Linked DNA regions of Elephas maximus indicus. The protein of the gene in region 1 purifies or fractionates together with the protein of each later gene. This does not show direct contact. Links are inferred from orthologs where the notes say so. Each region holds a gene or a part of one and is shown in the gene's direction. Other genes may lie near its edges.

Evidence for each region.
Region 2: the proteins of UBQLN4 (region 1) and GJA1 purify together in Homo sapiens (affinity purification with western blotting; 3 studies listed by BioGRID). This does not show direct contact. The link is inferred for Elephas maximus indicus from reciprocal best matches to the Homo sapiens genes UBQLN4 and GJA1.

The regions. Positions count from the first base shown.
Region 1 is NC_064821.1:193,862,700-193,870,469, reverse strand, and holds the start of UBQLN4 (ubiquilin-4), read left to right. Parts: upstream 1-4,671; 5' UTR 4,672-4,705; coding exon 4,706-4,813; intron 4,814-6,327; coding exon 6,328-6,479; intron 6,480-6,866; coding exon 6,867-7,084; intron 7,085-7,660; coding exon 7,661-7,770. Other genes in the region: ragulator complex protein LAMTOR2, read right to left, coding at 848-904, 1,176-1,265, 3,033-3,195, 3,474-3,541. UniProt on the Homo sapiens protein: Regulator of protein degradation that mediates the proteasomal targeting of misfolded, mislocalized or accumulated proteins.
Region 2 is NC_064819.1:188,743,709-188,751,656, forward strand, and holds the start of GJA1 (gap junction alpha-1 protein), read left to right. Parts: upstream 1-4,684; 5' UTR 4,685-4,892; intron 4,893-5,687; exon of another isoform or gene 5,688-5,766; intron 5,767-6,469; exon of another isoform or gene 6,470-6,711; intron 6,712-7,948. UniProt on the Homo sapiens protein: Gap junction protein that acts as a regulator of bladder capacity. A gap junction consists of a cluster of closely packed pairs of transmembrane channels, the connexons, through which materials of low MW diffuse from one cell to a neighboring cell.

The DNA.
Region 1 (7,770 bases):
GGCTTCTTTTATTCTCTCCCCACGACCTCAGGCCTCACAGCAAAGGCATCCTGTCTGCAAAAGGCCTCAAGATCCACACATCCTAACTGCAATAATCTACCATGATTAATTATGTATCATAAAGTATAGATTTATCTTTATTTTTCAATAGTTTTCTTGTTATATTAGCATCATATATTAGTCTATCCTTTCTTGCATTATATTTGCACTATGTTCATTTCTATTAAAAAATTTTCTATTGACGTTAAAAAAAAAAGACCTCAAGATCCAGAGGTCTGAGAATGTGAATGCCTGGGAAAAAAGGAAGAGGGTGTCAGCCCCTTGGAGGTGGCCTAGGGGTACCCTCCCACTCCAAAGGTAGAAAAGGCACCACACCTCCCACTGCAAAGCCTGGAATGGACACTGAACTCCCAGCGTCAGATATTCTTTGTCCAACACGACCGCCATCAGGCCCTTACTCCTCTGAGCCCCTCCCAAGGTTCTGTCAGCCAGGTGGGAAGATTCTGCTGTGAGTGGCAGGGGCTAGGTGAGGTCACACCGCTGGAGAGGCCAAGGGAGTAGGGGCACCACTGCCAGAAACCATTTGGTTTTGGGAGATTGTGGTGAAGGAGGGGGTAGAAGTCTGCTTTGAAGAACATGAGGAATCCTACTAGCGATCCCTGCTCTTCCCACCTCCTCCCATCCCTCCCACCCAAGAAAGTAGCCAAACACAGGATAGGAGTTTAAGTTTATTCTTGGAAAAACAAAGTCTCATCCTCCCACCACAGCCCAGGCAGGTTTTCCCAAGGGGCCCTGCCCCTCCAAATGGTCATCTCTCTTTTCTGATCCCAGGTTCCGTCTATAGCTGTCATGATGCCGCTACCTGGGTGAGGGGCTCCTCCAGGTACTGCACCAAGGCCTGAGCCTGCAAGAGGGGGAACAGTTATCAGTCCCACCCTGGCCTTCCACTAGAGCAATATGGGATCCAAGACCTATACCCCCCAATGCCATATGCTCTGAACACCCAGTCTCAGCCTCAGCCTCAGTCTGCTCCTGGGAGCTAGACCACACCAGGCATGGACTGGGTGGACATGGGAAGGCCCCAGAAAGGTAGTGAGGGTGGGAATGGACATGATGATAAAGCATGAAGGCTTGGCCCGGGGTTGTGGAGGGATGGGTGATGGGCGCATACACACCTTGGCCTTGAGCATTCCGAAGCCCACGGTCTCCTTGGCATACATACAAAGCAGAAGGTTGGCCACTCGGGTGATGGCCACTCGGCCCTCCTGGTGGGGGAGGGGATATAATGGGATGCGATGCTCTGCTTGGCACTCTCAGCCTCCTCCTTCCCAAAGGGCTCCTCTGGCCCTAGAGGGACTTATTTTCCTTGCACGCCCTGGGTACAGCAGGAGGTTCAACTGGGGGGCTTTGACTATAGCCCTGGACATGGGGTCCTGAGCCTGCGTTCTAGCCTCAGCACAGCCATCTTTTAACCAAGTTGCTCTGGGAAACTCACTTAATCTCCCAAAAACTTGGTTTCTCTTTCTATAATCCCTACCTCACTCCAGTTGGTGGGGGTGCCAGTATACACTAAGGAGTTTGTATCTGCAAAGGGCTGTCCAGATGGGAGATGTTATTATTATGGGCTCAACCCAAGACACTGTGAGGGAGTTGGGAGCAGTAACCCAACTTATATTTCTCTTCTTTTCCCTTAGTGATGCTTTGCAAACTGCAAGTTTGACTACAGGGTTAAGAGATCTATTTAAAAGGTTGATCCGCATTTATGGGGAAAAAAAAAAATGGAGGGAAGAGAAATGAAGAGCATTGCATGTGGTAAGGGAAGTACCATCTCCCGAAACTTTTGTTTCAGTGAGTGTGTGTACTAGGCTGTGACATAAAATGTATTTTTTATGACCAGGTTGTGGTTTAAAAAAAAAGTTTTGACAATCATTGCCGTATAGCACTAGCTGTGGACTAGGTACCCTAGGGGTCACCTGTTAAACTGAAATGACATTCAGAGGGTAGGAATGAAGCAGGTAGCCAAGCTACAGTGGAGACCCTTCCTAGAGAGTTCGCTCTTGGGGCCTATTTAATTTGGTTCAGCAAACCTTCAGTAGATACCCACTCTGGGCTGGGAGTCAGGTGCCTTTCCGGGGCTCATCTCCTACTACTCACCTATGCTCATGCCACTCCATCCCATTAGCCTTGTTGTTCCTTGACCAGGCATATTCTGCCTGAGGGCCTTTGCATTTGCTGTTCTGTCAGAAATGTTCTTCCCCAAGATAGCCACATGGCTTGCTTCCCAGCTTCCTTCAGATCTTCAATCAAATATTACCTTTTTAGTGAGATTGTCTCTGACACTATTTTGCTCCATAGCATTTTCACCACCTAACGTACTTACTGACTTCCTGAGGGCTGGGGTTTTTGTCTGTCCTGTTCACTACTTCCCTGCTATTCCCCCAAACACTGCAGAGACTTAGTAAATATTTGTTGAATAAGGAGATACAAAGGTAAGACAGTCCCTGCTCCTATGGAGTTCACAGTCTTAACAGCCACTTCCCCTTTCTGGACTTCATTTCCTTTCTCTGTAAACTAAAAGGGTTCTACTAGGGTCTGGAGACCCTGACAACTTTATGGTTTTGTGAGTCAGTGAACTTGGGATGACAACACCTTGAGTCTGCACATCCCTCTGTAGTTTATATCCATTCTTTAATTTGATCTTCAAAAGAACCCAGTAAGTTGGGCAAGGGTATGTGTGTTATTGTTTTCACCTTAAAGATGAGGAAGCTCAGAGAGGTCAAATGACTTACCCAAGGTCTCACAACTTTTAAGTGGCTGGCTGAGACCAGAACCCCAGTGAGTCCTCTGGCCCAGAACCCCTTCCTTACCACCACTTAATGAATAAGGTCCTGCCTCTTATAAATACTGCTGCAGATCACCTCTTAAGACTTGGAGATCCTGTTCCTGGCCCTCCAACCATCCAGGATGGGGTCTGGGTAGCCCCCTGGGGATCCCCTTGGGGGATAGAGGAAGCCAGGCTCCCCTTTCCATACCATGCAGTCCATGAGAATGAATTTGAGATTGTCTTCATTAAACGCTTGGTTCCCATTCCGGTCATAGGCGGCCCAGATGTTACTCGCGATGGCCGCGGTGACCCGGGCGTCCGTGTCTCCGTAACCCGAGTAGGCTAGCAGCGACCCCTCATTATTCAGCAGCCTGGCGAGGGATATCAACGTGCTTAGAGCAGGGGAAAAAAACGCCTGAGTTCCCACCCCAACTCCTGCAACTGGCGCTTCTAGGAAGCAAGGGTCTGGGCTGAGTATGTCCCGGAACCTGCACCAACACCCAGCACGCCAGCTTCCCTTTTCTAGAAAAGCCTCTCCCGGCGGGTTTCCCCAGATGCTGCCCACTGCTGCCTCTTTCCTTCCAGGCGATCCTTCCCCACCCCTCCCTTTGAGAGCCCCGCGCCGCTCAAGTCCTCAGTCCGCACTCACAGGGTGCTCTGGACGCCTCCAGTGTTGGCTTGGCTTAGCACCTGGGTCAAAGCCTTGGGGCGCAGCATGCCTGCAGCACCTAACCCAAGGCTTTTCCACTCAGATACCCTGGATTTCCTCCCGCTGGGCTCCGCCTGCCGCTCCCCGTAGCCCAGCTCCCCTGCCCCGAAACATCCTGGGAGTTGTAGTTTCTTGGCCTGGCTATTGTGGGTCTGCTTTAACTCCTTCCCACCGCGGAGGGCTCTGGGAATTGTAGTTCCTTGTTGCCTCGCGAGGCACCCTGGGAACTATAGTTTGCCTTTCCAGTCAGTCCACGAGGTTATGGGGGAAAAGAGCGGGAGTAAAAGGCCCTTGGAAGTACTGGAAGGACATTTAACCCCTTCGAAGAGAGAGAAGGCGTCATGTCCGCTTAGCAACCCACGATTCAATAATAATAACAATAGAATCCCTGTATTTGTCAAGCACACCTTTGGTTACTTTCCAAAGCAGTTTTCTATCTTATGCACGATTCTGTGGGATGAGGCTATAGGCATTATTAGCTTGAGGAAACCTAGGCTCAGAAAAGCCACCTAGGCAAAGGCCAGATCCCTGACACCGTATTTAACAGTCCTTCATTCGGGTCACGACCCTCGGGAGAACAGGGTCAATCCTAGATATGAGACCCTAGGCGGACGTCCAGAGGTGGGAAAAAATTCAACCTCCAAATCGAGCAAGAGAAGGCCTGGAAGGGATCTGGGCCTCTCAGGAAAAGCCAAGTTATCACAGGGCACAGTGATAAAGCGGCGACACAGAAAGTCCTTTGTCCCGGAGCGGGAGTTACCCGCGGAGGGGGCGGGGTCAGCCTTGGGCCAGACTGGACCGCGGCGCGGCTCGGGCCAGCTTGGGTGGGCGGTGGTCTCTCGCCCGGAACCCGCCCTCTGCTCCCCGCCCCGCGAGTGAAGGACACGCCCCGCTCCCGCCCAGAGCCCCATCCAGGGGCTACTACCCTGCAAGGCCCTGTCCAGGCTCCCGAACCCGGGGCTTGGCCCTGGGCGGGCCCGCTGCAGTGGTCCCCCCGGTCCGCCCGGGGCGCTGTGGCTGCGGCTGGTCCGGAGGGGGCGGTGAAGCCTTGGGGAGGGGAGGGGAGTGTTGGAGGCGCCCGAGCCGAGCCGGACCGGCCGGGCGGGGAAGAGGAGGAGGAGGAGCCGGGGCGGGCTGGCGGGCGGCCGGGTGGTGGCGGCGGCGGCGGCGGCATGGCGGAGCCGAGCGGGGCCGAGACGAGGCCCCCCATTCGGGTCACCGTCAAGACCCCCAAGGACAAGGAGGAAATTGTGATCTGCGATCGAGCCTCGGTCAAGGAGGTAGTACGGCTGGCGGGGACCGAGCGCGGAGGAGGGGGGTCTGTGAGGAGATGTGGGGGTCTCTGAGAGACTGTCGGGACCACCAGGAGGGCCCTGGAGAGAAGAGCAGGGGGTCAGCAGGGACCCCAAGGAGCGGGAAGGAAGGAGAGGCGGGTAGGGGGCGCCCTGCAAAGGGTAGATCCGGGGGAGCATGGCGCGCGCGCGTGGGGGGGGCCCGGGGTTTGCCTTGTGGCCAGGGCTGGGGGCGTGGTGGAGAGTGAAGAGGGGGCACCTTGCACCGGGAAAAGGGAATGACCCTGGGTTTGAGGGGAGTGTGCGCTCGGGTGACCAGTCGGGGTTCGAGGCGCCAAGGCTGAGCGGGGGGCACCGGCAAGGTGCTGAGCCAGAAGGGGCCAGGGCGCAAGCCGAGAGCGCCAGGCGCCTTCTGTATGCCTCCCAGGACTCCCAGCGTTTTGGGTGAAAACCTGCGGCGGTGGGGAGAGGATTTTCCTCTGCCCAGATCCTTTCTACTCTCAAATTGAGGTGATTTCTTTTGATTCTCAGCTCCTCAGGTTTTTACGCAGTGTGCAGTAGGTGCTCAATAAACAATTGTTGAAATATAGAATATCGCTTGTGTTCTTCACCCCCAGTGGCTGCTCCAAAATTTCACATAGGCGGGGCTTAAGATAGGCTTTCTGGTTGGAAGAGGAGTCTTAACTGTCTTTGCTTAGCAAGTGCACTGTTTTTACTTGAGTGTTTTTTTTTTAGTGGGAGGGGCTGATAGAGTTTGGGGATTCTAGGTCTCCCTCAGGCAGCCCTTGGTGCCACCACTGCCTCCCAACCTTATAAAACCACTCCATTCCAGAATTTAAATCCTTTTCCCTGCACAGCTGAATTTGAAATCAGCTCCAATTGAGAGGCAGTGTGTCTGAACGGTTAAGAGCCTGGTCAAAGCCCAATTCCCATTCTGCTCAGGATAAATTACTTAACCTCGCTGATCCTCAAATTTCTCGTCTCTAAAATGGAGCTAGTCATTAGTACGTATCTTATGGGACTTAGACGGTTAAGTGGTGAGTAGTAAATATTCAATGACTGGGATCTATTTGTTGTAGTTCAGGAACGCTGAACTGAGCAGAAACTGAGACTAAGCGGAGGAGGGAAACTTGAGGTCTGAGAAGAAAAAACTGAAGGAAGACAGTCTGGGTCCAAGGCTGTTTAAGGAATTGGGATGAGGAGGGCTGCCCAGGCAGCACCCTCACAGGAAGCTGGGTGGACAGACTGGAGGTGGGATGGCAGATAGCAGCAAGGACTTTCTAGGGTAGAAGACCCTGGGATGGAACTGAGAGAGGAGCCTCTCAATAATCCATCTCCTTGGGTAAGAAAGGAGCTGTTTATTGCAGCTTGAGACTGAAGAAAGGACTTCCCATGACTAGAGGTGGGAGCAAGGGAATGCAAAAGCTCTTAAAGAAGAGGCAGGGTCCCTAGTGGGTGGAGCCCAGGCACCCTCCACAAGGACCTCTGTCTCTTGATCCCAGTTCAAAGAGGAAATCTCCCGGAGGTTTAAGGCCCAGCAGGACCAGCTCGTCTTGATCTTTGCCGGCAAGATCCTCAAGGATGGGGACACACTGAACCAGCATGGGATCAAGGATGGGCTCACTGTCCATCTGGTCATCAAGACCCCTCAGAAGTAAGTTCAGGAGATAAGCAGGCCCAGCTTCTGATTGGGCCTCTCACTTCCACATCTGAGGCTTTCTCACCCATCAGCTCATCCGAACCTAGAGGGCCTATGCCAAGGCCTGGGAAGGTGGCTCCTGGATGAATTTTCAGGCAGGCTATAATCTCACCTCCGAAGGGATCCTGATTTACCCCTCCCAGAATGCCCTGAAGACAGATAATACTAGCTCCGCCCTCACTCCCTAGTTTACTGACCTCCCCTTCCCCTCCCTCTTCCTGCCTGAGGGTCATAGTTAGGGTAGTAACTGCCCAGCCAAGAAAGAGCAGTCTGATCTTTGTGGTGCCTTCCTTGTTCTTGGGGTGTATACTCCAACCAGGATTCTCCTTTCTCTGTCCTCAGGGTTCAAGATCCGGCTGCTACCACTGCTTCTTCCCCCTCCACTCCTGACCCTGCCTCTGCACCCTCCACCATGCCTGCTTCACCCGCCACCCCTGCCCAGCCCTCCACCTCTGGCAGCACCACTTCAGATGCTGGCAGTGGAAGCCGGAGGAGCAGTGGGGGGGGGCCCTCCCCAGGGGCTGGGGAGGGACCCCCCAGTGCAACTGCATCCATACTCTGTAAGCCCCTAGAAAGGAGAACACAGTGCTGTTTTGGTTTGGGAGTTGGGGAGAGTCAAGAGGAGGGAGAAATATGGTCCCTGATCCTGGTCTGATAGGGTAGGTGACCCCTGGACACAGGGCTCTAAACACTGGTATTTGAGCCAAACCAGGGAGGAGACTACTCTGTGAGGGCTTCCTGGAGGAGGGGAAGTATTAAGAGTGAGGGGAGAAATGGGGCTGGGGACGTGGGGAACCCTGGGTGAGGATATTAAAAGAACCTGTGAGTTTGGAGAAATGATAGGCCCAGCAGGAGCCAGGATAGGGAATATTTATTTACTTAGACTGTCACTGATTGCCCGCTCTTTGCTAGGTGCTGTGCTCAGCTCTGGGGTAGCCTAAGCCTCTGCAGTCCAAGAGGTCTCAGTCTAATGGCTCTTCGCGTGGATCAGGGCTAGGCTGTGGGAGTAAGTGGAAAAGGGAGCTGTGAGAAGCAGAGAAAAGATTGGGCCCACCCTGGAGATCTGTATTCAGTACCTTTGGCCAGGTAGGGGAAAGGCCACTTGAGTAGAATGTGACCCTGTCCCCTCCCCACAGCTGGCTTTGGGGGCATCCTGGGGCTGGGCAGCCTGGGCCTGGGCTCTGCCAACTTCATGGAGCTGCAGCAGCAGATGCAGAGGCAGCTGATGTCCAACCCTGAGATGCTG
Region 2 (7,948 bases), on another chromosome or scaffold:
CATAAAAAAAGGTGAAATTAAACAAACATGAAAGTCAGTATTAAATGATTTACCAGTTACTTTTCGCGATGTTCATTTTCACTCTGTACAGAAGGTGGAGCCAAAGACAAATTTATCCACTGCCTGGTATTCTTTCCCATTAAACAAAAGAAAGGGGAAAAAAAAAATTCTTCCCTCCCTTGACAAATCCTTTTTGGTGTAGCTGCAGAGTAAGATTCACTTAGAGATAAATGTGGGCTACAGAAAGGCATTTAACTTTTACCAAGGTAAAGTCAAGCTTTGACCCTGAAATCTCTCTCCAGGATGATAGAATACACTTTGGAAGCAAATTGTCAGACCTCAGAAATAAACCTGTTGAAAAAAGGATACTAGCACAAGTTGGTGATATAATGTGAAATCTTCACTACTGTGTATCGAAATTTGGTTGACAAATGGTCAATTTAAGAATACATTTTCTGGCTGACTACCAATCTGAGTAGAGTGTTTCTAGACTTGCATACTATTGAGCTCCAAATTAGCCTTCACTCCTTTCTTTCTGTTCAATCAATATTAGATAAAATGGAAATTTGGTGCATAGATAGGAAATTCATTTACTCTGATGTTAACAAAAAGAAATCCATAAGAATGCTAACTTATTCCATTACAGAATCATTCTAGACCCTCCCTGTCTTAGATAATCCTTTTATTCTTCTAGGGTTGCCTTTGAATTCTCCTAGAGATACAGCTGACTTTGTCAAATCTGTTCACCTGACCCTTACCTCAGAGTCAGCTGATACCATCACCAAATGCGTTTTTTAATGTCCATCCTTTCCACCTCAAAACATCTCTTTCTTTATGGTCTGCATTCACTCTTGTTTTAAAGGAATATTGTCCTTTTTTCAGAGTTAATGACTCACCAAGTTCCCAAGTGATATTTTTCTTACTAACAATCCCACATGTGGCCATTTCAAATACCCCTTCTTTTCCCTTACACCACCTGTCCTCCTTTTTTTTTTTTAAGACTGCTTTAAATGTGGAAATCCTTAGGAGCCTGGTGGTGCAGTGGTTAAGTGTTCGGCTGCCGTTGGAATCCACCAGCCACTTCTTGGAAACCATATGGGGCAGTTCTACTCTGTCCTGTAGGGTCACTATGAGTTGGAACTGAATCGACAGCAATGAGTTTGAGTGGGTTTACCACTACAATACTATCCTAACTAGTTAATTACTACCCTAACTATTCTCTGGTTGCTGTGGAGTCAGTTCCGACTCATGATGGCCACATGTGTATCAGAGCAGACTTGTGCTCCATAGGATTTTCAATGGCTGATTTTTCAGAAGTGGATCCCAGGCCTTTCTTCTGAGGCAACTTTTCATTAGCAGCCGAAAGCACTATTTGCACCACCTATGAACTCCCTCTATAGGGTTTCCATGAGTTGGCATCAACACCATGGCAACAGGTTCAACAGGATGGACTCCCTCTAATCTACAGCTACCAGCTATTCTTGAATGTTTATGTGCACCTCACTGATGTGACAGTAATCCACCAGAGCTTTTATGAGATAAACATTGAAAGTCCTTAAAAATTAATCTATTCATCTCTTAAAATTCCAGAAATCATTATTTCCAAACAAAGGTAAAAACTGAAAAGTGCATTTGGTCCTCATATTAAGAAGTGCTTCTTAAAATTCTGAAAAATAGTCAACTCTCCACTGTGTCAGTAATTTACATTTCTCAATGCATAGAACAACATGCGTAAGACAGACTCTAAAGCCTGGCCCATGATGGTGCCTGAAGACATCCTGGAGATGACAGGAATTTTAAATGTTCAGTGTTGCCTGGCTGTAACTATTTCCCCGGGGAAAGATAACATGCTTGGTAAAGTAAAGGGTCAGCAAAAAAGAGGAAGACCCTAGATGAGCTGGATTGACACAGTGGCTGCAACAATGGGCTCAAACATAGCAATGACTGTTAGGATGGCACAGGACCAGGCATTTCATTCTGTTGTGCATGGGATGGCAATGTGTCAGAACCAACTCCATGGCATCTAACAACTAACGTTTTTTCTGCACATAGACAAGGTCTGGCAATCTGGAAGTCAGTGTTTGTATTAATGAAACGGCATTGGCATTTCTGAGAATATGAGAGAAAAAAAATCACTTTTTAAAATCTCTGCCACAATTTTTACAAATCTTTCTAATGGAAACAAGCTTTTAATGTCAGGTAAATGGGATACTTTTTAAAAACTACATTCTTGGTTAAACTATAAGTCACCAGCACTGCTGGAGTATGAGGTGTAACAGGAGTTGCTATTAGCCCTTTGGAGACGCTGCTAGGTGTCTGTGAGAGAAAGCTGTGTCTTCACCATTCCAACAGGGAAGCCATTCACAGTAACCCAGCTCCCCGTGAGCATTATGACTCATGGGATCACAGTTTGGTGCCATTATTTTACAAGGAAAGAAGATCATAAAGAAAGTCTTCGTCTTCTATGAATAATCACGGGAAAATCATTTTGGAAATAGAAGACACAGTACATTCTAAATGTTAAGAGAATAAATTAGTTAGTGGCTCATGCCATATTACTTCAGAAACTGTTTCACGTGATATCCATGAACAATGTCGTTTGGTATAAAGAATTTCTTTAGTTCTATTTCCAATTGGTCATACAGGTTACAGGTTTAAAAAGAAATAGCAGAAAACTTAAGATATCCATACTCTTTTAGAGACCTAATAAAATAGAATTCAAAATAAACACAATCTTTTGCTTTAAAAATCCTGTCATAGAAAGCCAATTTTAACTTTTCTTCATATAATTAACTCTGAATCAGAACCTTGAGAATTCTTTTAATAAAATGGATAATATCAGTAATAATTGTACTTTGCAAAAGTAAGCCAAATAATTACGTAAATTAACTTCAAGCATAACCTTTTTTTAAAAAGGGGAAAAGATTTTCTTATAATGAAAAGAGTGAATCATATATTCATGAATGTGTTCTGAACGCAAGGAAATAATTTTTAGTTAATGCAAAAGAAATATGCTTTTTTGAAGGAAAGGGCAATATGAATACAAAACCAACAACAATATGTACACGTTGTTGATCTTGAAGACTTGAAAGTCTGATTACCATTTCTATTTCCATAACATCTTTTTTTTTTCTCCTTCCTTAAAGAAAAATATACCTTTGGAAACTATACAGCTAGAAAATGAGAGAGTGCAAAATCATGTCTTAAAACTATAACATTTCAGAAAATGTTTTATTAGTCACTTCAATGAAAGTATATTTAGTGAAAGGTATCTTCCAGGAAATACTTGCCATTCTTCTTTTCTCTGGTATTGGTATAGTGTGAAAAGTTAAGAAAATGAAACCTGGTGAGTTTGCTTTGTTTGCGAGAATAAATACTGATAGACTTTCCTGTCCACTCTCAGGAGTATCACTGAAGCCTGTTTATGGGGATTTGTCCCACCACAGCCCTCTGCTCTGGCATCTGGGGAGCCCTTAAAGGAGCTGCCCTGTCTCAGAATGAAGTGGCATGACTCAGGCCATTATACAGACTATGCAGAGACCTGAAGAGGTAGAGCCATGGAAGCGGTGGATAAGCACATAAAGATTATATGCACAACTTTACTGTCGATGGGCAGAAAACTCTCTAGTGGGTTTTAGAGAGAGAGCTGGTCTTAAGGAGAGTCAAATAGTTTTTGGACTCACTCAATGCCTACTTAACCTATCAGGCAACTTTAGCCTGTGTTTGATAGAAATAGCCTCGTATTTTCACTACAAAATATTTAGTTTTTAGTGTTGTTGCCATGTAGGGGCTGAGAGCATACTATGCACTTTCAATTCCCCGGAGATCTGGTAGAGATTAGAAATCAGTATTTCACAGTTTAACAAAACTGATTTTTTTATATATATATATGCTAAACTGCTCAACTGCAGGAAAAAGTAAAAATTCTAAAGTGCCAAAGGATTTAGAAGGTGGATTAAGGATGGATAGAAACCAAAAAAACCAAACCCACTGCCATCGAGTCGATTCTGACTCATAGCGATCCTATAGGGCAGAGCAGAACTGCCCCATAGAGTTTCGAAGGAGCGCCTGGCAGATTTGAACTGCCGACCTCTTTGTTAGCAGCTGTAGCACTTAACCACTACGCCACCAGGGTTTCCAAAATTCAACCATATATGTCCCTTTTTTAAATGTTCCTGCCCCATCCCCACCATCTCCTTTGTTGTCTCTACCTAAATGAAGAGGAAAAGAATTAGATCATCCAATAGGTCATTCACACCCACCTCTAACTTCACACACACCTTGGCCGATATGAAACAAGTTTACACTGGTTAAATTCTTTGCCAACATTTTTTTTTTTTTTTACTCTAAAACATTTTTCTCTTATTTTCAAAAAGGTGATAACATCACAAAATATACAATTTTTCATTTTCGCTGGAATTTTGGTGAAAAAAGGACTAAAATCCATCGTTGTTATCTGTAAGGAGTAACTCTCAGGAGCGGCACGTCTCTGTTTAATGAGATTTTGTTTTTTTCTCATCAGCAAATTTAAACCACAACTTTATCTCAACCTAGATACTCTTCTCCCCCACCCTTCCAAGTTCACCAGCGTCCTCTGGGCTCTCCTCCCCGCCTTTCCTTTTTCCCTCCCCTTTCTTCTAGCCCCTCCTCCTAGTTGAGTCAGTGGCTTGAAACTTTTAAAAGCTCTCTGCTCCAAGTTAGAAAAAAGCTTTTGGGAGGTATCAGCACTTTTCTTTCATTAGAGGGAAGACGTGAGGAAAGTACCAGCAGCAGCAGACATTTAAACTTTAAATAGACAGGTCTGAGTGCCTGAGCTTACTTTTTTCATTTTACTTCATCTTCCAAGGAGGTCAATCACTTGGCGTGCCTACTTCACTTCTTTTAAGCGAAGAGTAAGTGAAACAACATTTTACCTATTAGTTTCTTTTTCTACAAGTAAGACTTTTCTAAAGTTTTTAAATGTGTTAAAAAGTAGCTTTGACTTATTTAAACTGTAATGGAAGAGTGAACTTTAAAGTGTTTCTGTAGTTTTAAAGTTAAATTGTACTGAATTTATATTTGACTCTTAAAAAGAGTTTCTACTAATGATGCAACAGGCAAAATGAGGTTCAGATCTTTCCTATTAGAAGAAAGAACTAGTTTACTGAGTATCTGGTACTTCATTTTGGAGTATAATTGTCTTAGAGTAAAATTTTGCTTTTTGGTAATCAGCGATAGTCTAGGGGCTCTGTAATTTGTTGGGGGGGGGCCGAGGAGCCTTGGTTGGGGAGGTGACTGACAACAGCCCTAAAATCAAAGTGTAAATTTGCTTAGCGAGCTTCCTATAGCATTCTACACTGGGTGCTTTTTCATATGGAAATCTTGATTGATGTTCAATAGCCTTGCAAAGCAGATTTCTTAACAAAGTGCTTTGTTAAAACCTTGCGGTTACTTGACTTCCACGTGGTCTCTTCCTAGGATTTTTTCTCCCAGTAAGCAAAAAAAAAAAAAAGTATAAAAATCAGACTTGTAATATGGGGCAGAGTTGTAATAGTAAGGTTTGTAAAGCAACAGTGTATAGTTACTGTGTTAGCCACTACTATGGAATTACTATGGAAAGATTTGAGACCCTCAGGAAATGAGGTTTATCCCGACCACGTTGGCAATTCAGGAGATGAATTCCCTCGAGTAAGGTAGCGGTTACTTACAGAACGTTAGAAGACAACAGACGTCAGAAAAATATATACCACGGTGCATTTCCAAAACCATGTCCAAAGACGGGAGCTCCTAGAAAGTATAGGGAAAAGGGAATTTCTTAAACAGCGCCTCAGAGGGAGCTGACCGCTCCGGCCCTCCCCACCCCCCACCCCCCCCGCCCGCCGCCCGAACCTTTAACAGAATTGAGAGCTCTGGGCGACTTTTTAGAAGTTCGAGCTGCCAGGGTGCTTGCCAGTAAGCCAAGATTTATTTATTTTTAAAATAGTTCAATTTTTGAGTGTTCTTATTGGTAATACACATTCGGTTTACCAGATATGCAACCATGGATTTTTGCGCCCGGAAAGGATTTTCTCTGTTCTGATCCACAGACTAAAGTAATTAAATTCTTGGTGTGACCCAGAAGTTTGAAGTATTTGCACCAGAAAATGCTGAAAAGCAATAAAAATGAAACCTTTGCAGTGGTCGGGGGCCGGGGCGGGCGCCGGGCGCCTCCTGCCATTTTAGCACCCGCCGGGCTCACCCTGGATTCCCGCGCAGCCCAAACCTCTGGGGGGGTTTTGAGATGTTTCGTTCAAATCCCTACAAATCAATTCTGAGTTCCGCCACTGAAAAGGAAGCGGTGGTAGGGAGAGGAGGGAGCTGAGAAGGAGATGGGCTGCATGCCAAATGGTAAAAGAGGAGCAAGTGATTGACTTAATTAAGCTTGTCAATCCAATTTCCCATTCCTCCCACCCCAACCACAGTTTCCTTTTTTTAAAAAAAAAAAACTTACCGAATCCTATGATATTTGCATTGGTAAGGAAAACCTGAATACCTGGGGAATTATCGTGCTTAAATTGCACTTGTAGCTCTCCTGAAAATTCTCGAAACTCCCCAGGAACCAGTGGAGGAGAAAAAGCCCCATAATGAAATGAGGCAAGAGATAGTGACTTGTCGTCCAAAGGTAAATTAGTATTTGATTCAGTGGATCGGCCACACATAACCTCTTAGTTACACATAAAATGTTTGCTGAGCATCTCTGATTAAGTTCCTTGAGAAGATGTCCTTGACCAACGTCACATTCAGCCTGGTCCTTACGGACTGGGTGGTGGGAGCACGTGAGCCACAGAACGTGGTGAAAAGAGTCCAGACACTGTTTGGAGGTGAATTTAGTTTCTCTTGCTTCCTGAAATAAGTCAGTAAGGAGAAGAAAGGTGTTCAATATTACCTTAGGAAAATTGGGCACACAAACCCAGTTGTAAATGTCTCGTAGCAATTTAAAGAATAGATTATGCAAATTTTAAGGAAGCCTATTTTAATCTTTAAAGGATTACTGAGGATATAAACCTGTGACAAACCAAACCCTTTGTGGTCTATTCCAACTGAGCAACCCTACAGGACAGAGTAGAACTGCCCCATAGGTTTTCCAAGGAGTGGCTGGTGGATTCGAACTACCAATCTTTTGCTTAGCAGCGGAGCTCTTAACCACTGCACCCCCAGGGCTCCAAAAACCTGTGATAGTGCAGTGAAAATCTCATTAAACTAACCCATCCCCAAGAATGTACCCTTGGGAGAAAAGTGATTCATTCTTCTGGGTAGGCCGAGTGGATCAAAAATCATACCAAAGGCAGAAAGTAGATTCTGTTTCCTGGCATTGTTTGTTGTTCCTCTAAGTGTGGCTGTGTTGTACGTCCCAAAGGCAGGATATAGTTATTATCACCTGTACTTTTCCTGGAAAAGGCAGTGGTAGTGTCTTGCTCCTACTTTCTTCACCCGTGTAAACATGCTCTGCATTTTTTTGTTTGTTTGTTTGAATAGCCTTTTGAAGTTTATCACCAGAGCTGTCCTATGCACTCAGTTCCTCACCCTTTATGGCTGGGATTCCTACAGTGTTGACCGTGCATGGGAAGCATGATTCTAAAGATACACCTCAGCAATCATCTAAAAGGGTGTGACCTCTGATATTGAGGGTGTTTTGTTATTTAGATATTTCCAATTCTTGCATAGGGGAGGGAAAACTCATTTCTTTTAAAACATCCAGAGGTGTAGCTTGGCATGACCCTTTTAGCTTTTATATATGATACCCTGGTGGAAGGAATGATAAGAAAGTCAGCCATGATTAAGACATTCTACTCCACCTTTCCTGTGTGACTTCCCTTCAAGATTCTCTCTTGTTTGAATAGATGTGTTAGAGCTTAGCCACACACACCAGCTCAGTTCTGGAGAGAAAAGTAAAGATGATCTGATGTTAAGAGGATCTTCAAACTGCTGG